Linked DNA regions of Oryzias latipes. The main gene of each other region encodes a partner of the protein of the gene in region 3 in a complex. Links are inferred from orthologs where the notes say so. Each region holds a gene or a part of one and is shown on either strand. Other genes may lie near its edges.

Region 1 (7,251 bases), on a different chromosome or scaffold from region 3:
AACTACTGCGAGTAAACGCTCCGTTACAATCCATGGCGAGATGTGAACCCGCCTACCTGACAGGAAGTTACTTCTCCCCGCTGCAGTAAAGGTCCCTGGAACTGACCTGCTTCTCCATAAACGCCCAAACATAACCGCCATCTGGTTCCTCCCGCAGAACGTCTCCGTTTTCAGTCCGGGCTTTAGTTTGTGTTTGGGGAGGACAGCGGCGGTCCGTGGAACGTGCCTTGGTCTCCGTCTGTTCAGGGTTTTCGTAGTTCTGTCAGGATCCCTGAGGCGGCGCCGCGGCAGACATTTAAGGGCATTTTGTGTTAAAGCCGTCATTCAATGAAGACTTAAAGATGGAAGCGTGTTCTAGTGACGGAGATTCTCTCCAAAAATGTATATTTGACTTTGTTTCTGTATATTTTTGGTCCGTTTCTGTTCCTTCTCGAGAGTTTCCTCCGCTTTCAGGACGCCGCACTCCGTGACCCTTCACCCCCCCACCCCCAGGCTTTTATTTTGTCATCGTTTGGCCGATCCGAGGTTCCGAGCAATCGCCTAGAGGTGTGCAGAACTCGGGTCGTTGCTTTAGTTTGGACCTGCTCGGGGTTCCGTCAGTACAAAGACCCAGAATCCCTCCCTGTGGCGTGCATGTTCAGCTGGCGTCCTCACACGGCTTCAGCGCTAACGTGTGGCGCCCATCGTGTCATCAGATTTGCACTGGAATGGCGAGCCTGAAGGGGGTGTGTGTGTGTGTGTGGGGGGGTCTATTCGGCGCCTTATTAAAATGCAACCTCAACCTGTGGATGAGCAACCTCTGCTTTACTGACGTCTGGATTATTTGTACATTTTGAAGTCGTCTGTTGGAACTTGAATGTGCACCTTGGTGGACAGCGGCACGGATGGCGGAGCGTTGAGGGTCTCGCTGTGTTCAACGGGAACAGCGCCGCTGCTCGCCATGCACTACTGACGGGACGTGTATATGAACGAGTGCAATGCTCAATAAAGCTCCATTTACGTCTAGCTTTGGTGCTTCAGTGAAGCTGCTGTTTGTCAAGAAAAAGTCGATGTTTAGACGACTTCAGTTAAATTTCTGTGAGCAAAACTGGAAGAAATCTAAAAGAAAAATGTTTGATTTTTTTTTTGATTTTCTGTCACTGTTTTTATTTTAGCAATGAGATTTTGTAAAAACTCATTATTTTGTGCTCTAATTTAATTGATTTATCTAAAATTATTACATAAAATACACTAAAAGGCTGGGAAGTAAAAGTAGATTTAAACAATGTGATGTTGGATATAAAGCGGTATTTAAATTTGAAATTATTTTTGACATCTGACACAAACTTTCAGTAAATTTAAGGCTTATTTTTATCCTAAATGAAGATATTTGACCTAAATTAGGTTAAACTTAAGTTACAGAATAAACTTAAGACAAACACAATGTTAATCACTAAAAATAAAATATTTTTTAAAGATTTCTTTAAAAATAAAATATTTTTTAAAGATTTCTTTTTTATTTGAGCAATGAATAAGAATTAACCTGAGGAAATGTACTTATTTTAAAGTATTTTTGTTTACTTTTACATTGTAAAAAAAAAAAAAATTGACCAAAATTTGGTTACTAAAATATGTAAAAGAAAAAAATAAAATGCAAAATATCAAAAACTCTAATTTTATATAGGTTTTAATGTAATTTTTAAATAAATTAGAAATTAAATATTTTTCCAAGCTTTTATTCATTTGTGCAATAAATTTAAATATTTCAAGTAAACTTTCAAAACATTTTAAAATCTTACTTTTATTCACTTTAACATCATACGAAACATAAAATTTGTCTTAAATAGTGATATTTAAAAAAACATGAAAAGGATGATGGGAAATGTTTAATTTTTTTTAATATTTCCCAGCAAGTTAACATTGGATTATTTAACAGATGATTAAAATAAAAGTCAAAAACTACATTTTTTTTTTTCTTCTGGAAACATTTCTGAATGGCGAAGATGTGGGGGACCCAGCCGGTACCGGGGGGCCACCATGTGGGCAGCGGGGCCTGATGGGATATAAAGACTGGTGTGGGTTCTGGGGGGGAGGGGGTTCTGGTTCCCCAGACCAAAGCAGGTACCAGTCCCCCTTATTTCCCTGCAAGCAATTCCAAACCCGCGCGTGCACCAAACGCGTGGTGGATTTATTTAAGTTCATTCATCAAAACTTCCAAAAAAAAAAAGTGTAAAACAAAAACTAAGAAGGTTTGAGTTTAAAACCTTCAAGTGGTTTTAATCTTGAAACCTTAAAAAAAAAAAAAATATTTTTTTTTTTTTTTGGAGCAAACTTTGGGTTAAATGTCACATAAGCGCGCGCGCGACGCCGCGCGCGTGCGCTAGATGTGTAAAAAGATGTTTAAAAAGTGGTTTTGTGCCGCGCGGATGGCAGCGGCTCTGGAAACCCAGTGGGTGTCAATATAAAGTGACGGCCATATTTGCCGGTGCCGCTGTTGTAAACAAAAAGTGAGAGACAGACGCTTCACTGAATTTCGGGTCATTTTTATTTCTTTAATTTACAATGTCTTTGGGAATGTCTTACAAACCCAACGTCCATCAGCACATTCCGGGAACTTCAGGGAACCAGGGTAAGAGCAAAACGGCGGTCAAAAGCCAACTACCCGCCCGCTACATCGAGCGTTAAATTCGGGGTCTCGGAGAATACCTGGAGAAAGACTGTGTCTGTAGTTTTTGTCCAGTTATATATATAGGGTCAGATCCTGGGAGCTAGGCTAATTCATATCCGCCATTATTACTAATGTAAAAGGGCGCCATCCGCGGGTCGAGTCGGCGCGGAAACACGGCGGGGATGAGAAACGAGCGCGCGGCGCTTCCGAAAACGGGGTTCCCCGCCGTCCGGGGTCGCGGTCCCGCCCGGCGGGTGCCGTTACACGGTGACAAAAATGTATCGGTTATGTCTTCTTGAGCCAGCCTTGTTCCGTTTCCTCCATGATGCTCCTCGGTCGGAGCTGCTCGATTGATCCGCCTCGGAGGAGTTTCTGCCTCTTCGAGGACACCTGCCGGTCGGGGCCGATACTGCAGGCGCAGGAGGCAGGCTGGAGTTCATGGAGCCAAAAAACAACAAAGAAAACCTTTAATTTAGTGATACATCGTGGAAAATACTGAATTGTTTTCATTATTTTTTTCATTTAACAATTTCACACCTATTAATTAGTATTCAGATTTTTTAATGACTAATTCACTCTTATTTAGCAACAACTTAATTTTATTTCCTGATTTTAGAGTCAGAATGATGCACTTTTCATACTATTGTATTGATATATACAGTAATGCATGAACCAGTGACAATATCTGTAATTATTCATTCGTCTTTTGTCTTCACATTCTAAATCCATAAACATTATCAAACATTACATGATCAGTGTGTCCTGCAGCAGTCTGGGACACACTTTTGTGGTTTGAAATCTGGCGATTTCCTTATTTTCCCTCAAAATGGGAAAATAAACTTTTAGCTCAAGCGATCCTCACCAGGTTTCCCTGCTAGCTTCAGTCTACAACCAAAGTTTCGTTGACCTTTGAAGGGGCTTAAATAAAAATAAAAAATCGCCGTCTACAAATTTAAAGTCCTCCTGGGGATTTTGATCTATCGTTACTCATCATTTTGAACCTACATGGGGGGAAAAATGTTGGTTTTTAAAGTTTAAAGATTTGGAACGGTGTTGGCGGGGCGAGCTCGCAAAACTGGCGTTCCCCTGTTGGTCGCGCATTTCTTACCAGAATATTGTGGAAATTGAATACATTAATTCCTTGCGTCAAGCTGAATGAAACAATATGATATACAATAAAACCACATTAGGAATGGGGGCGTGGTTAATGATAAACCTCCGTTGCCAAGGAAATCCAAAAGTTTACTTTTGCCAATTTTTCTACAAATTACATCGACGGATTCGCCACCCCCAGGGGACCAAAAAAGGAAATGGTTGCTATGGAGATAAAACCAGCATGAAAGCCGCCATTTTTAAAATAGTTTGTCTTCATTAATGAGTTGAGCTTCATTTTAAAGACGGATGGTGTGGAGGTCATGTGGTCAAGTCTTTTGCATTTATCAGAGCCTAAAAGTTAAAAATAATCATAAAAATTCATCTGTGATCATTTTTTGGATGTCCGTACTTTCTAAAATGACTAGCGGATGTTTTTTTTTTCTCTCATTTTACCAAGTAAACCAAAGTTTCTGTTTCTACAAAGGTAATATTTCTCTAAAATCCTCATCCATCGTCAGCAAATGCAGGGACGGCTTTCAGCCTCGCTGTTCCGTAAACGGCTTTTTGGGGTTTTGACGCACACGTGTGAGGAAACCAAACTACAGATGTGTGTTTATGATTCTGCTGCGTTTAGGACTAAAATAATTCAAATCAAACAAAATATTTGATAGAAAGCTCTGAATCGGTTGTTTTTGTGTCACCAATGTCAGACAAACGGGCTCCATGTTTGGTATATTTTAGCAGTGAAAGAACAGAAGTACAGTCTTCTTGTATCATCTTTCATGATGCGGATGTTTTGCCTGCAGTTGGGAACCTTCAGTCGGCCTCGGCGGCTAACCTGGCCACGTTGCAGTCCTACAGACCCCTGCTGAGCGACTACGGACCTCCATCTCTGGGATTCTCACAGGTGAGCTCCGCCTTTAGACGCCGCAGAAACATCTTCTTCTTCCCAACCCTCGTCAGAGGTGTGGCGAGTCTTTCAGGGTTTCTGTTGGCGCTCGTGGAAACGCGGTGGCGGCGGCTCTACCGCTGACTGTACCTGAGACCTGGGCTGAGTGTGACCACATCCATCGACAATGGTTCAATTCTCCATTTTTTATTTTTTTGTAGTGAGTCCTTGTTTCTGTGGCAACCACCCTCACCAATCAGGGGTGGAGCTTATCCGAAGGCCACACCCCTACCACCTGAAAACCTGTCAATCGTTTTGGACATAGGGGCCGCCAGGCTCCACCTACTTTAGTTGAGGCCTCAATAATAAAAAGCAGATGTTAAAGCGCAGAAAACACCTGTTTCCGCACGTGTTTCACGCTGGTTTCCGTTAAGCTAACGTCCTTGTCTGATGAAGAACGGTTCTGCGTCTGGATCTTTGACAAACCGCTGGTTTCCACTTGTTTTCTCCTGGCCAATATTCAAACGGTACCATTAAAGTTTGAAAGTTGGTAAATAAAAACACCAGAGAACTCTGAGATGGTTGTTTGGGGCTCCCAGGAAATGCGTGCATCTTATTTTGAAAGTCCCGATAAAACGGGTCGTTCAGCTGTTATTCACAACTGCCCTCACGGGCGGATAAGGGCAACGAAGGTCTCACCTGTACGGTGACCCGCCCCAAATATCAAAGGCCAAAGATCAAAGCTGCAGCTTTTATTTTGTTATCAGAAGAGAACTTCCTTTGTTGTTGTTTTTTCTAAACTCCAGGGCTCCACCGGCAGTCAAGTGCCTCAGAACAAATATGCAGAGCTGCTCGCCATCATCGAAGAACTCGGGAAGGAAATCAGGCCCACGTATGCTGGAAGCAAGAGCGCCATGGAGAGGCTGAAACGAGGTATGTCCCGCTTTGAACGCTTTCCTTTGGGTTTCAGCCGAATAAACCCCATCCCTCTGGGCAGGAATAATCCACGCCAGAGGACTGGTGCGGGAATGCTTGGCGGAGACGGAGAGGAACGCCAGGTCCTAGCCGCAGACGCGCCTTCCCCCTCCGAGAAGAACCACACGTCACCCAAAAGCAAACGGAAAAATCAACCTGCATGGCATTTTTCTCGGTTGGGAGGAAGTCGATGAAGAAAAGGCGGAGAGGCAAACTCCTAGAGATAAAGGGCGACGATAAGAGAAACGAGCAGCAACAACCTGAACGCCTCCCAACGGCTGTCAATCATGTCTGAGTTGTTTGTGAAACAAAAGAAAAGGTCGACATTCAACTTCACTGATCTTAGTTTTCCATTTCCCTTCAAAATCCTTCTTTTTGCATGCAAACGGGCCCATCGGTTAACTGTAGACTATGCATGACATGTACAAAACTAGATCAGGTTTTCTTATTTGATTTTATTTTTTAGTGTTTTTATTTTCCTCTTTTCATGGCGTTCGGTCTGTTTTGACCTTTTGCAACTCACGGCGGAGGGAAGGATGTGCCAAATGCATTTCTTTCATCCATCTTTCAGTTGGTTTTAAGTGGAGACACAGAAAATGGAAAATGCTGTTACTTGCATCTTTGTATGTATTTATTACCCTGTGTAATAAATTGTATTTTCAATACAGTTGTCATGGTGATTCTTTGTTTGTTTTCTTTTGGCTCAAAGGGGCAGAAAATAATAAAAAAAATATAAATGTATAAACATTTAAAGCAAATAGACAAAATAAATATTTACAAACTTCAGTTATGGGGAGGGCTGCGTATTTTACTCAGCTTTTTCACTAAATTAGATGGTTTTTTTCATGCCTGTGTAAATTATAATCTAGGATTATTAAATGTAAAAAAGACTCAGATGCTTCCTTGAAGGGTATATTTTATGTAGATGAAAAAAAAAACTTTAAGTAAAATCAACAGAAATAAAAATTTCAATATCATCACCAGGGGCCTCATTTATAAACGTCGCGTACGCACAAAAGAAGGCGTACGCCACTCTCTACGCAATAGTTGAGATTTATAAAAAGCAAACTTGACGGGAAAATGTGCGGTCCTTCACGCAAGCTCTGACCCAGGCGTACGCACAAAAACGGGTGAAATGAGAAACGGCGACACCGTCGGCAGATGGAAGAAACACGTGAAAGTGAAAATGACAATACTGCCTCTCATAAATAACATGAAGACTTCACAAAGCAAGTCTTACAGTTATCAGCCTACACCAACACCCGTTTGATCGATCAGCAGTGAAACAAACAAAAAAATCAAACGAAAATTACAACAGAAATTCAAATGAACACTTATTTGCAGAAAGAAAAGTGAAATATGTTCTGCAATATTGGCATGTTGTGCAATTCATCCTCATAAATAATATAGTTAACAGAACGAAATAATGTACAAAACTGATATTCCCGTCAATGTGTCCGTCTGGCGGAGCAGATATAGGTGCAGACAGACAGATGGGTAGATAGAGAGAGATGCATTAATTGTCCACTGGGGAAAGTTGTTTTCATAGTAAAACATTTCTTCATAAGCTACAGAATTATGGTATTCATGCATATGCCTTTAGTTTGTATTATTTTTGATAAAACAATGTATGGCGTATGTCTCA
Region 2 (7,150 bases), on a different chromosome or scaffold from region 3:
GGTGGGAGGAAGAAGACTGGTGGCAAAATATCCAAAGAGGTCATGATGAGGGCAGGACTCTAAGGGTGAGGGCTGGGATGAAGGGAGCTTTCATAGAGGTTATGTGCGGGCGCTTCTCTCAGTTTCTGCAAGACATTCCCTGACGAGTGCACGAGCGTGGATGATACCTGCAAGAGAGGAGTCGGGATTTTAATTCACAAATTTGAAATGATAGGAAGCACATATTTACAAAAAACACCCCTACAAATCTGAAAAGAGAATATGTCTGTTATAGTAGAACATCAAGAGAGAGGAAAAAAAAAACAACTAATCAGAAATGATAACTGGTACCTGCATGGAGCAGAATAATGTTGGTCACAAAGAAAGTACCTCTCTTTAGCCTTTCCATTGCACTCTTGCTCCCAGCATATGTCGGCCTGATCTCGCGGCTCATCTCCTCGATGACGGACAGGAGCTCGCTGTAGGTGGACCCCTGGGACACTTTGACAGGCTGAGGATTTTCAGAAATGGGAAGTTTTAAAGAATAATAAAATGCACATGATGTACACTAACAGAATAATTCATATAGTAATGTTGAAAGGGTGACTTTCTGCTGACATAATATCCACGACGACATGCAATGAAGTGATTCTAACTTTCTTGTAGGTTTGAAACCGTTATACAACCTAAATGATGTCGGTTCAGATAAGGAGGATACATTTATTAACCAGGGAGACACATTCCCTTGACCAAAGTAAAACAAAAATAACTTGTTGCAAAAGGAAGTAAACCTCTACATACAGAAACAGAGATGTGTTAAACTAGAAGCACTTGGGATCAAATAAAGGATGTATTCAAACTGGAAAAGTCAGTTGGTCCAGACTGCCTGTTTAATTTGATCCAGATCGAGTCCTAAACCTTGCGTTTGCCCTTCAACCAGACATTTCTGTTTCATACCAAAGCTTGTCAACAAAAGCGCACAACTGAGGATCTCTTCAGGAATTATGAGGGCGGGGCAAAGCAACAAGAGGCAGAAATTATGGAAGTCCTAAGCTTTGCAAACATTGTCAGGATAGCTCACATATTTAAACATTATACTTTGCTGACCAATTTTGAATGTCTATATCAACGTCAGGTACTTTTACCCTTTCTTGCTGCTTTGGTCTGGCTGAAGCACGCTGCAGGGCATTTACTGATGAGACGGCAGCTAAGAAGGTACGCTGAATTAATAAACAAACTCTGGTTCCCTTTAAGCAAACCAAGTGTGTGCACAACACCACAAGATGCTTCATTTAATAACAATTCTGAGAATACACTTCTCACTTTTTTTTTTAATCGCATCAATAATCACAAAGTCAACGGTCCTTTTAAATAGTCTTCTTGAATCAGAATTATTAAAAACAACTTTTGATTTCCCTTTTTCAAAAAAAAAAAAAAAAAGAAAGTGTTTTAACGGTGCACATTTTCAAAAGTTCTTTGCTAGCCTTTTACAATCACATTTAAAATGATTCTTTAAACTATCAGTGCAACTGTTTACCAAAGAAGAGCCTAAATTAGGACAAAGCTTTTACATTTATAAAATCATATGAATGAAATGAAGTACCGGTAATAATTTACTTATAAAATAAAAAAATTCTTTTAAATCCTTAAATGAATGAATTAATATCATACAGCGTTGCCTGATCAAATCACCTTGTATTTACAAAACAAAAACTCTATTTGTTCACATTATATTTAGAAGACAGTAAGCACTTCAAGAAAGGAACGCAATTCTTCACAACAACAAAATTTCCTTGCAATACAGTTACTCAGTTTGAGCTCCTGGATGCTGCAGGAAGATAACCAGGAACATTTAGATATGCAGTGCTGTCATCAAATCAACAACACATCCAACATTGCAAGTCCCTATTTCTTTTAACCCTTGTGCTATCCTAGACAATTTGACATTGGGAGTTGGGTCATCTAGACCCACTAGACAGTGCGCTGAACCATTTTTCTTCAATGATTTGTGATCTTCACTGGTGTCCATGGATTACATGAAATCTTTCCACCTTTATCCACCTTTGTCATGGTAGGGATGACATGTCAATGGTCATTTTGAACCCATAGGATAGCACAGGGGTTAAAAGTATTCTTTTGATTGCATATGAAACATAATTAAAATGAAAAATTGTTTATGAGTTTGAAAGCGCAAGACACTAACCTGAACAAAGCCCATAGATGGGGGACCAAAGTCACTGAAGACTGGCCTGAAGTTGGATGACGAGGGTAGAGACGGCGAGGGGACCGAAGAGCCTGAAGAAAAAAAACAACTTAGTGGAAACCAACAGGTTGATCATCATAGGTTCAACCCGGACCACAGGTTACCTGGTGGAGTGTGATTGGACCCAGACGGCGCAGGAGCAATAGGTTTGTAACTCATGGCGATTTCAACAGGCAGCTCCACATACAACGCGCTGCTTTCCTCAATCCCGTCAACCCGATGCTTATACAGCTTCACTGGTGATGGTGAGCTCCTGAGAGCTAAACAAAGCGGAAAAGCACACACTGTAACAACAATGGGATTTTATTTTCTGTTCATTCCAAAATTTTTGAAGACATTTTTCACATTTAGAAAGTGATCTACTCGTACAGAATGTTGTAATAAAGTATAATAGATGACATGAGCTGAAGCGTTAATGGAAACATGACTACCGGTAAATCAATTCCATGTCATGTTAACACAAACAGAAGACTAGAAGCAGATGGGCTACACCAGCAGACAACCAAACAAAAAGTCACCAATACTACAAACATGCATATAAACTGCATCTGAACAACAGAGATGTTTCCAAGTATAGTGCTTTATTAACAGTCCACTAACAACAGTCGAGTCTAAATAGCATAGTAGTGAGTATTTTATGCTTCTTTAAAGCACTGCATGAAAGTAGTTTAAGACTAAATACTGACACCCCCCCCCCCCCCTCCTCACAACCAGTCTAGCTCTGGGAAACCACGTGATGAAAAAAGTGAAACTGCAAATCTATTTTAACAGGAAGCAAAGCACCAACTTTTCATTTGTTCCAACAATTTTTTTAATCAAAATCAATATTCTACAAACTGGCAACCGGATTATTGATAGAACGAGTTAATATGTCAGACCTACAGCGTTAGTTGTTTTCTATAAAATCGTGTGGTTTTCTTAGTTTTACAACTATTGTGGCATGGATAACAGTAACACAGCAATATAATTCATCAAACATTAATTGAGGATCGAATAACATTTCCTTTTCATTTTAAATTAAGCTTTCACTTAAATTGAGTCGGTCGGAAAAATAAATATTCCACATAAAAAATTAGACTAATTCGTTTAAAAAAAATAAACTTTAAATATGTTTTAAAAGTAGTTCCTAATCATTACCACACTAACGCATAGTCATAATTCATTTGAAATCACGATTATTTTATTCCACGCGTTACAATTTAATTCATAAACTATCTTTAAAGCCCCAAGTCAAAATGTACCAGGATGTATCAAAAAAGAACGTTTTCTAAGTAAAGGAAGTACAGAATGTACGAACGGAGCAGGAGGTGACTGAGGTAACAAAAAGCCAACGTTAGCTTAGACGAAGGTGCCCAGCTAACTACTACTAGATAACGTTAGCCGGATTAGCTAGCTATTGCCGGTTAGCAAAATAACCTGGGTACAATCTTTAAAAAATAAATAAGTTAACAGTTAAGCTGTTAATGTATACTTCCTGAACCACAAATAAAGAAAACACAGAAGCCACTAAAGACGTACAGAGGGGATAAAAGTAGCCCCAAAACTGTTATTGTTGTTAATTTACCTTTTTACTGAGAGCAGCAATCTTAGGTATGACGTGAACCTTAGCTCCGCCTCTGTGTGTGAGCATGCGCATTATTAAACCCCCGCTAGACTATTTTACTATTTTTTCCTCAACCATCACAGCTTTGTGATTGGTTAATCTTCCCAAATAATTTTATGTGTTAAACAGTGTAATAGTTTATTATTATTATTATTATTATTATTATTATTATTATTATTATTATTATTATTATTATTATTATTAGTAGTAGTAGTAGTAGTAGTAGTAGTAGTAGTAGTAGTAGTAGTAGTAGTAGTAGTAGTAGTAGTAGTATTTTATAAATGTGATATTATTATGCCAAAATAAAATGGTAAATTTCGTGCTTGTTTTAAAAAATTCTTAGGATCAAACCAAATATAAAAGAACTAATGTGTTTTTATCATTTCAAAACAGGTTTAATGCAAGGATGCAATCAGGATTATTCCAACTGAGATTTTTCATCGATTTCCAAGAATTCAAGGAAAATTTGCTTTTTAAAGCTTTCTTTTTGTTTTCAAATTCAAATTCAAATTAATTTTATTTTGTTTTGCAAAAAAAAAAAAAAAAAAAAAAAAAAAAAAACTATTACCGGTAAAGTTATGTTTCTCCACTTATGGATTTAAAAAGCCTTTTGGAAGTATAAAAATGTGTTGCTGATTCATTATGTTGTTGAATGGCCTACAGTTGATATCAGATTACTTACTTGAATGCTGATTTCCAAACAGAAGGTTGTGCTTTAAGCTCTTACAGAAAGATCAGAATTGATTATTTTTTTAAAGAAGAGGAATATTTTTAAGCAATGGATAATTTACAAGAAATGCCTTCACTGCACTGTGGCATACATAATGTCAGAGTCATGCTGTTAATCATTTTTTTAATTACTGCTGTCAGCTGCTCTGTTGGGAAAAAAATGGTTAATCCCTTTAAGAAAAAAAACAATCTTATTTTTCCAGTCACATTATATATTTCTCTGTTTTAAGGCCTTCCATGTGTCAAAGTAAAAGATATAATCTACTGATTTGTTTTCCAAAGATCATCTATGCGAAAAATGACAGCAGCAAAAGATTCTGTTGGTTGTCGGCCCAATTGTTGAATTGTTTCCTATACTACGCTGGTTTCTATGTTATCATTTTTTGTTTTTGCGAGTGATCTGATTAACAAATATCTCCCTGTCTTTTGTTGAAAACCAATCTATTATACTACTTTTACTGTTCATTTGATGTTGCTACATTGCGTCAGTAGATGGTGCTGTGGTGTTTTTGTGAATCCATCAGTGTATTTGCAGTCAATTTGGTCTCCTTTGGTTCAGTGAAAATAACCATAACATAACCATAGACATATCTCTTTAGGCATTTAATCCACAATATTTTTTATGTGACATCTATTATTTTCTCTATTAGCTGGTAAAGGATTTGCTGCAGAATTAAAAAATAGGGCTTTTGTTTCTTAACATTACACATTCTCAGACATCATCTGCTGGGGATAATCAATACAATGTTATTAACCATTCTTGCCTTAAATTAAGGAGTTAAAAATCAATGTGAAAGGGTTCATTAAATAATTGAAAACATGATTAAACTCCGATGACAATTTTTGTATTAACCAGGGTAAGAAAAAATAACGCCAAATGTCATAAATCTAAATTTCTGAACTGTTTGTAACTATGTCTGTCTAAAACTTATTAGAAATAAAACATGAGCCTCAACCTGCATGTATTCTCCCACTCTGTTGCATAATCTTACAAGTTGTTAAAGAAAAGCTCCATAAAGACTAGAAGCAGTTGTTGTTGGTAAATCACGATAATATGTAAAAAAAGAAAAAACAACCAAACTGCTCTAGTAAGAAATGGAATTCTCATTTTTTCACATTTTTTTCACATTTTTATTGAAATCTTTTTACAGTTCCTGTTTCCTTAATTGCCTGCAAAGTGCTGTGCAAGTTTGTATTTTTTTCTTCAAATCTAGAGCTGGTGGGTGCTGAGCACAAAGACCGTGTACTGAGTATGAGCAAAGATCACTGCCATGGCTACAATTTTTATGTTTCTCAAGGCAAAAAAGCCACACGGAAACTGCATGGCACAAAAAATAACAGAAGTGACTATCAACCCTGTTCATAACAGTAATGAGCAAGCTGTTGGTAGTAATGGAAGTCTTGTTGCATCATTTTTTTAATTTACTACTCTTTTTTTAGTTAAACGCACTTCATTCTTTTTATATGCATATTTTATATTGTTTGTTAACAAAAAACAAACACATGATAAATTGAGGACACACTTGCCATTCCACTTCTCTAAACAGCTTTTCAGCAGAACTCTGGTGGTCACAATTATAATGTTTCCAAGAATAATCATGACCAGAAATCGGAGCACAAGCTATGTGCGGCATTGAAAGGCTGACGCTCAAAACTAGAAGGTGAAAAAATATAAGTGTTTCTTCACCGAAATGTGTCAGAAATTTGACAGAAGACCTCTTGTCATGGAAAAATGATTCACTTCTGAACTGTCTCGATGATGACATTGGCAGGAAATCTCTCAAAGTGTGAACCGAAGAAGAAAGTGTTTTTCTAAAAAGACAAATCAGTTTGCTACACCATTGCTCTTCTGCAGTGTAAAAACTCATGATTCAAGCAAAGAAATGAAAACATTCAAATCAATTGTCTCACAAAGCTCTTCTCTGTAGGGAAATCCCTATAGTTCTTAGTTTTTATGCAGAATGAAGCAGAAGTGTGTCAAAGTTCTTCAAAAACTAATAAAAATAACAGTTTTAAGTAAATTGTGATTCAACTGCTTTAAGCAAAAATGCAGCAAGTAGCTGATACAAGTAAGTGGCCTGGAGGTCTGGAGTTTGTACCTTATATAGAATCAAATTTACTTTAGAGTTCCATTCCAATGAAAATTGTGTTTTTGGTGTTTTTAACATGTTCTTGTGGCATTTTGCTGATGACGGAGGATATATAATATAGATTAAATATATAACAATATATATAAAAACAACAATAAAGCTCAAATTTGCATTTCTGAGAATTTCTATAGTAGAGGGAAATTTCGGATGAGCTCCTGCCGCTTTGCTGAAACTATGTCCTAGAAAATGACACAATTTTTTAAAATGTTGGCTAAAAATGATATAAGCATAATTAAAAGACCACCGGGAGTGCTTTTAAAGTAAATCAAAAGATGTTCAGACATAGCAATTTTTAAAAATTGGGTTATTTCTGGTCCAAGTTATTTCTGTGTGGTAGTTTCATCTCTTTGCTTTTTTCTTTCATCCATGCTAATCCTCCTTGGTCACCTGTCACATCTGACACTTTCCTTACGTGCTTGTCCACAC
Region 3 (6,056 bases):
CATGCGTTTATAATGATCTTCAACTTCATTAGCGGCCAACTCTGTAAGTTAAAGGGCTACTGTGGCGTTAAGTTATTAAAATTAGAAAGAAACAAACTTTTCTAAAACAGAGAAACGATGTAACAAACGCTTTCGCTCCATATTTTCCTGTTTTGAAGTCTTCTCTCTTTCACAGCGGCTCAGTCTCCTCAGTGGTACGCCTGGGGTCCTCCCAACATGCAGTGCAGACTGTGCGCCTCCTGCTGGATCTACTGGAAAAAATACGGAGGCCTGAAGACCCCCACTCAACTAGAGGGGGCCACGAGAGCGGGCTCTGTAAGTCTTTGTCCACACAGTCAGCTCCTTTAAAGGACTTCTCAGTGTTGAGTTGTGCTGCCTACTCTTCCCTGATTGGTCGTTCTGCATCCAGGAGGCGGGCCCCCGCGCCCACATGACCCGCCAAGAAGTCCAGGGCCTGTCCCCTTTCACTCGCAACGAGGGCCGAGCCAAGCTGCTGGCCAAGAACCGCCAAACGTTCATCCTTCAGACCACAAAGTTGACCCGCGTGGCGCGGCGTGTGTGCGAGGACATTCTGCAGCCGCGGCGTGCTGCCCGCCGCCCCTACGCCCCCATTAACGCAAACGCCGTCAAAGCTGAGTGTACGAGCCCATTAGGTCACGCAGTCTTTATTTAAATATTTAACACCTTTCCATACGTCAACACTGCCTAGACTCAAAGGGCAGGAGGAGGACTTTGACTGAAAGTTTGTTTTTCTTCAGGCATGATCCGGCTGCCCAAAGCCACAAAGACCCCTGCAAAGAGCAAGTCTGTACCTCGCCAGTCACTAGCCAACATAGTGAAAGAGTTAGGTAAGAACCTGTGACATCCAAATGTCTGCAATAAAAGCCTGATGGATTGATGAGATGCTCGCCTGAACAGTCTAGACCAGGATCACATGAATACTCATTGAAGGTCTGAAAGAGCAAAGTGGACATAAATGTACACAAGGACTCAATATTTACACCCAGAATAAAGTAAAAACTCATTTATTGTTTGACGACCATTTGTGTTTGTAAAGATATCGTTGGATTTCTCACTCAAACACTTTTTAAGCTAAACGCTATATCATCAGCAAATGCAGGAAAACACTTTTTACACAAGTGATGGACGGAAATCAAGCAAATGAGAACGATAGTATGTGTTTCTATGCTTTGTTGTGCTTCGTTGTGTTTCTGTGCTTTGTTGTGCTTCGTTGTGTTTCCGTGCATCGTTGTGTTTCTGTGCATCGTTGTGCTTCAGTGTGTTTCTATGCTTCATTGTGCTTCGTTGTGTTTCTGTGCTTCGTTGTGCTCTGTTGTGCTTCGTTGTGCTTCGTTGTGTTTCCGTGCTTCGTTGTGTTTCCGTGCTTCGTTGTACTCTGTTGTGCTTCGTTGTGTTTCCGTGCTTCGTTTTGTTTCCGTGCTTCGTTGTGTTTCCGTGCTTCGTTGTGTTTCCGTGCTTCGTTGTGTTGCCGTGCTTCGTTGTGTTGCCGTACTTCGTTGTATTTCTGTGCTGCGTTGTGTTTCTGTGCTGCGTTGTGTTTCCGTGCTTCGTTGTGTTTCCGTGCATCGTTGTGTTTCTGTGCTTCGTTGTGTTTCCGTGCTTCGTTGTGTTTCCGTGCTTCGTTGTGTTTCCGTGCTTCGTTGTGTTTCTGTGCTTCGTTTTGTTTCCGTGCTTCGTTGTGTTTCCGTGCTTCGTTGTGTTTCTGTGCTTCGTTGTGTTTTGTGTGATGCATTGTGTTTCTGTGCTGCATTGTGTTTCTGTGCTGCGTTGTGTTTCTGTGCTTCGTTGTGTTTCTGTGCTTCGTTGTGTTTCTGTGCTGCGTTGTGTTTCTGTGCTGCGTTGTGTTTCTGTGCTGCGTTGTCTTTCTGTGCTTCGTTGTGTTTGTATGCTTTGTTGTGCTTCATTGTGCTTCGTTGTGTTTCCTTGCTTCGTTGTGCTTCGTTGTGCTTCATTGTGCTTCGTTGTTTCTGTGCTTCGTTGTGTTTCTATGCTTTGTTGTGCTTCATTGTCTTTCCTTGCTTCGTTGTGCTTCGTTGTGTTTCCGTGCTTCGTTGTGTTTCCGTGCTTCGTTGTGTTTCCGTGCTTCGTTGTGTTTCCGTGCTTCGTTGTGTTTCCGTGCTTCGTTGTGTTTCCGTGCATCGTTGTGTTTCTGTGCATTGTTGTGCTTCAGTGTGTTTCTATGCTTCATTGTGCTTCGTTGTGTTTCTATGCTTCGTTGTGTTTCCGTTCTTCGTTGTGTTTCCGTGCATCGTTGTGTTTCCGTGCTTCGTCGTGTTTCCGTGCTTCGTCGTGTTTCCGTGCTTCGTTGTGTTTCCGTGCATCGTTGTGTTTCCGTGCTTCGTCGTGTTTCCGTGCTTCGTTGTGTTTCTATGCTTCGTTGTGTTTCCGTGCTTCGTTGTTTCCGTGCATCGTTGTGTTTCCGTGCATCGTTGTGTTTCCGTGCTTCGTCGTGTTTCCCTGCTTCGTTGTGTTTCCGTGCTTCGTCGTGTTTCCGTGCTTCGTCGTGTTTCCGTGCTTCGTTGTGTTTCCGTGCATCGTTGTTTCCGTGCTTCGTTGTGTTTCCGTGCTTCGTTGTGTTTCTATGCTTCGTTGTGTTTCCGTGCTTCGTTGTGTTTCCGTGCATCGTTGTGTTTCCGTGCTTCGTCGTGTTTCCGTGCTTCGTCGTGTTTCCGTGCTTCGTTGTGTTTCCGTGCTTCGTTGTGTTTCCGTGCATCGTTGTGTTTCCGTGCTTCGTCGTGTTTCCGTGCTTCGTTGTGTTTCCGTGCATCGTTGTGTTTCCGTGCTTCGTCGTGTTTCCGTGCATCGTCGTGTTTCCGTGCTTCGTTGTGTTTCCGTGCTTCGTTGTGTTTCCGTGCTTCGTTGTGTTTCCGTGCCTCGTTGTGTTTCCGTGCTTCGTTGTGTTTCTGTGCTTCGTTGTGTTTCTTTGCTTCGTTGTGCTCTGTTGTGCTTCGTTGTGCTTCGTTGTGTTTCCGTGCATCGTTGTGTTTCCGTGCTTCGTTGTGTTTCCGTGCTTCGTTGTGTTTCCGTGCATCGTTGTGTTTCCGTGCTTCGTCGTGTTTCCGTGCATCGTCGTGTTTCCGTGCTTCGTTGTGTTTCCGTGCTTCGTTGTGTTTCCGTGCTTCGTTGTGTTTCCGTGCATCGTTGTTTCCGTGCTTCGTTGTGTTTCCGTGCTTCGTTGTGTTTCCGTGCATCGTTGTGTTTCCGTGCTTCGTCGTGTTTCCGTGCATCGTTGTGTTTCCGTGCTTCGTTGTGTTTCCGTGCATCGTTGTGTTTCCGTGCTTCGTCGTGTTTCCGTGCATCGTTGTGTTTCCGTGCTTCGTTGTGTTTCCGTGCATCATTGTTTCTGTGCATCGTTGTGTTTCCGTGCTTCGTCGTGTTTCCGTGCATCGTTGTGTTTCCGTGCTTCGTTGTGTTTCCGTGCATCATTGTTTCCGTGCTTCGTTGTGTTTCCGTGCATCGTTGTGTTTCTGTGCATCGTTGTGCATCGTTGTGTTTCTGTGCATCGTTGTGCTTCATCGTTGACATTGTCATCCACGATCATGTGTTCGGTTTCCTTCTAGCTGTTCTGTCCTTTAGTCACAGCCTTTCTTTAATGGTGAACTGGAGTCACATTCTCTTCTTTTCTGTGTTCCTGCAGCCATTTCTGCTCCGCTGAAGCTGAAGGCGTCCAGAGGACCGCCAACGCCCATCAACAGGAACCAGGCCAGCCAGCCGCGAGTAGCCCAAAGCCTGCTGGGAAAGAGAGGCTTCGACAGCGTCAGTGCTCCTCCCACACACCACACTTTCTCTTTCCATTGAAAACATCCCTCAATGATTTCTGCAGAGATGGGTTTCTAACCTGTGATGTCACGTGTCAGGCAGCCATACTTATTATTTTCCACCATCATTTTCAAATAAATTCTTTATAAATCAGACAACTTGATTTTTCTGGGTTTTGTCTCTCATAGCTGAGGTTTACCTTTGATGAAAGTTACAGGCCTCCCAGTCTGTGGCTGACTGAATACTTTTTGCCCCACTGGCCATGAAACGGTGGTGGAAAGCCTCACATTTGGCTATGCCTCATGCTAAATTCTTGCACACAATTGTGTATAAACTACGTAAAAGACGCATAAACTGAATACTTCTCAACCGACCAAAAATTCTGAACAGCTAAAAACTGAATTCACGTAAAAACTGTCATCCACTAATGTGTGTCTTTCCACGTTTGTCTAACAGACTTTTCATGCATGAACCACTGATGTGTAACTTTTAGATCACGTATACGGCGCACAGATCACGTTCAGATGACATCATTGATGCATGAATCACTGATGAATTACAGAGAAACATCACAATAATCACACGGTTCATGTTCTACGTTGGTTTACTTGTTCTTAAAAAAAATTACATACAGTTATTATACAAAAAATGTTATTTATTGATAACTTTATAATTTTATTCTGATATTTGACTAAGATCTGAATCTAATCACATAAACCATCTGTACTTTTGGTCTGATAGTACAACAGGCAGTCAGTACTATAATAGTCTTCACCTGTACTTTCAATCCAAGAGTTTGGTAGAGCAGTAATGTAGTGGTCTGTAAAGGTTGTGTTGTGTTGTGGGGTTGCAGGCGGCGGGGGCGGCGTTCCCAGCCAACGGACGGCCGTACACATCAGGGATGAGAACCACCTCCCAGTCGGTCATCAAGCGGCAGAAGGTCAGCCAGGGTGAGGCTCCCAACCCCGTTGTGTTTGTCGCCACAAAGGACACCAGGTACGTCACTAGAGGAGCGTTGACTGTAGACAAGGATTCACAAATGTCACACAACACACTGCACACACAGGAACCCGAAAATCTTCTGTAGTGTTCCCTCGCTTTAGCTCGCCGTCCAGCTGTTTCACAAATCTGATCTGCATGTTTTGTGAAGTGTTCTTTCTTGTGGCGTGTGCATGTCCTCCTCCTCCTCCTCCTCCTCCTCCTCCTCCTCCTCCTCCTCCTCCTCCTCCTCCTCCTCCTCCTCCATACGGAAGCATTTCTGTAGCAGAATGAAAAATAAGTCCACACCAGAAATGCTTCCATAGGTTCCTGTGTGGGTTTTGGTGCTTCGTAGGTGATTTGGTGTCTGGAAAACGTCTCGTCGGTCCAGAGCGTACCCCACCCTCACCCATCAATAAGATGGGCTTCTGCGACCTCTTGACCCCAAAACTGTGCAGAATTCATTCCAAATCGATCTTTGTTTTCACTCTATAGTCCTGGACTAGTGTCTGAGAAAAGGGAATAAAATGTTTAGGGAGGAGTTTCACGGCCTTAAGACGACTGCTTCGTTTTTATGACGTCACCTCCGCTGTAAATGAGGGAACACTGTACGAAAGAGGACACTCCAGCACACTTATGGAACTCCAACCTAATATCATTTAAAGGTTAAAAAGAAAAACAAGTCAATTCATGGGGTTTTGTTGACCTTTTTACACTAGAATCCATCTCCCTGACAGACACACACTGGTAGTTGTTGAGTTTCTCCTCTGTTTACAACATTGCTGCTATAGAAATGAACACAACTCACAGTAAAGGATGATGACCCCCATCTACAGCAGAGCCTCAGCGTTTGCATCCTTTCCACCGTCGCTCACACGGTTACCGTAGTTCTGAGGCGTGGATGTGCCTCGCTTTATGAAAGCTGTGTCACTTTAGCTCGTATGTGAAAGGTCAGCTGATCCGTCGCGTAAACAAAGATTCCCGTTAGGTCAGAGAGGGCGATGCGGGGGCGACTTCTCTGCTGTTGGAGGGGTAGAGCGGGGGCGTTACCCAAAGCGGGGGTCAGGTTTGACACACGGCTGACGTACATGTGTGTGTGTTTCTCCATCAGGGCCCTCAGGAAGCACCTGACCCAGTCCGAAATGCGCAGAGCAGCCAGAAAGCCCCACCTCCTGGTCCGGATCAAGCTACCGCCGCCGCCGCCCCGCTCCGTGCCCCTGCTGCCCTCCAGCACCAGCGAGACTATCGTCCTGGAGGACTGAAGGGGGGCGGGTGGAGTTCCTGAGGGTGGGGGGGGC

The links.
Region 1: mta2 (region 3) and cdk2ap1 share a complex: the UniProt entries of both Homo sapiens proteins name them as parts of the nucleosome remodeling and deacetylase (NuRD) repressor complex. The link is inferred for Oryzias latipes from reciprocal best matches to the Homo sapiens genes MTA2 and CDK2AP1.
Region 2: mta2 (region 3) and cdk2ap2 share a complex: the UniProt entries of both Homo sapiens proteins name them as parts of the nucleosome remodeling and deacetylase (NuRD) repressor complex. The link is inferred for Oryzias latipes from reciprocal best matches to the Homo sapiens genes MTA2 and CDK2AP2.

Annotation. Positions count from the first base shown.
Region 1 is NC_019870.2:2,596,310-2,603,560, forward strand, and holds cdk2ap1 (cyclin-dependent kinase 2-associated protein 1), read left to right. Parts: upstream 1-2,363; 5' UTR 2,364-2,541; coding exon 2,542-2,608; intron 2,609-4,548; coding exon 4,549-4,649; intron 4,650-5,437; coding exon 5,438-5,564; intron 5,565-5,628; coding exon 5,629-5,696; 3' UTR 5,697-6,269; downstream 6,270-7,251. UniProt on the Homo sapiens protein: Inhibitor of cyclin-dependent kinase CDK2. Also acts as a component of the histone deacetylase NuRD complex which participates in the remodeling of chromatin.
Region 2 is NC_019859.2:13,714,098-13,721,247, reverse strand, and holds the start of cdk2ap2 (cyclin-dependent kinase 2-associated protein 2), read right to left. Parts: upstream 3,907-7,150; 5' UTR 3,807-3,906; intron 2,503-3,806; 5' UTR 2,402-2,502; coding exon 2,347-2,401; intron 2,275-2,346; coding exon 2,183-2,274; intron 491-2,182; coding exon 370-490; intron 168-369; coding exon 100-167; 3' UTR 1-99. UniProt on the Homo sapiens protein: Acts as a component of the histone deacetylase NuRD complex which participates in the remodeling of chromatin.
Region 3 is NC_019876.2:29,093,926-29,099,981, forward strand, and holds part of mta2 (metastasis-associated protein MTA2), read left to right. Parts: intron 1-175; coding exon 176-315; intron 316-409; coding exon 410-653; intron 654-758; coding exon 759-848; intron 849-3,658; coding exon 3,659-3,777; intron 3,778-4,633; coding exon 4,634-4,776; intron 4,777-5,869; coding exon 5,870-6,020; 3' UTR 6,021-6,056. UniProt on the Homo sapiens protein: May function as a transcriptional coregulator. Acts as a component of the histone deacetylase NuRD complex which participates in the remodeling of chromatin.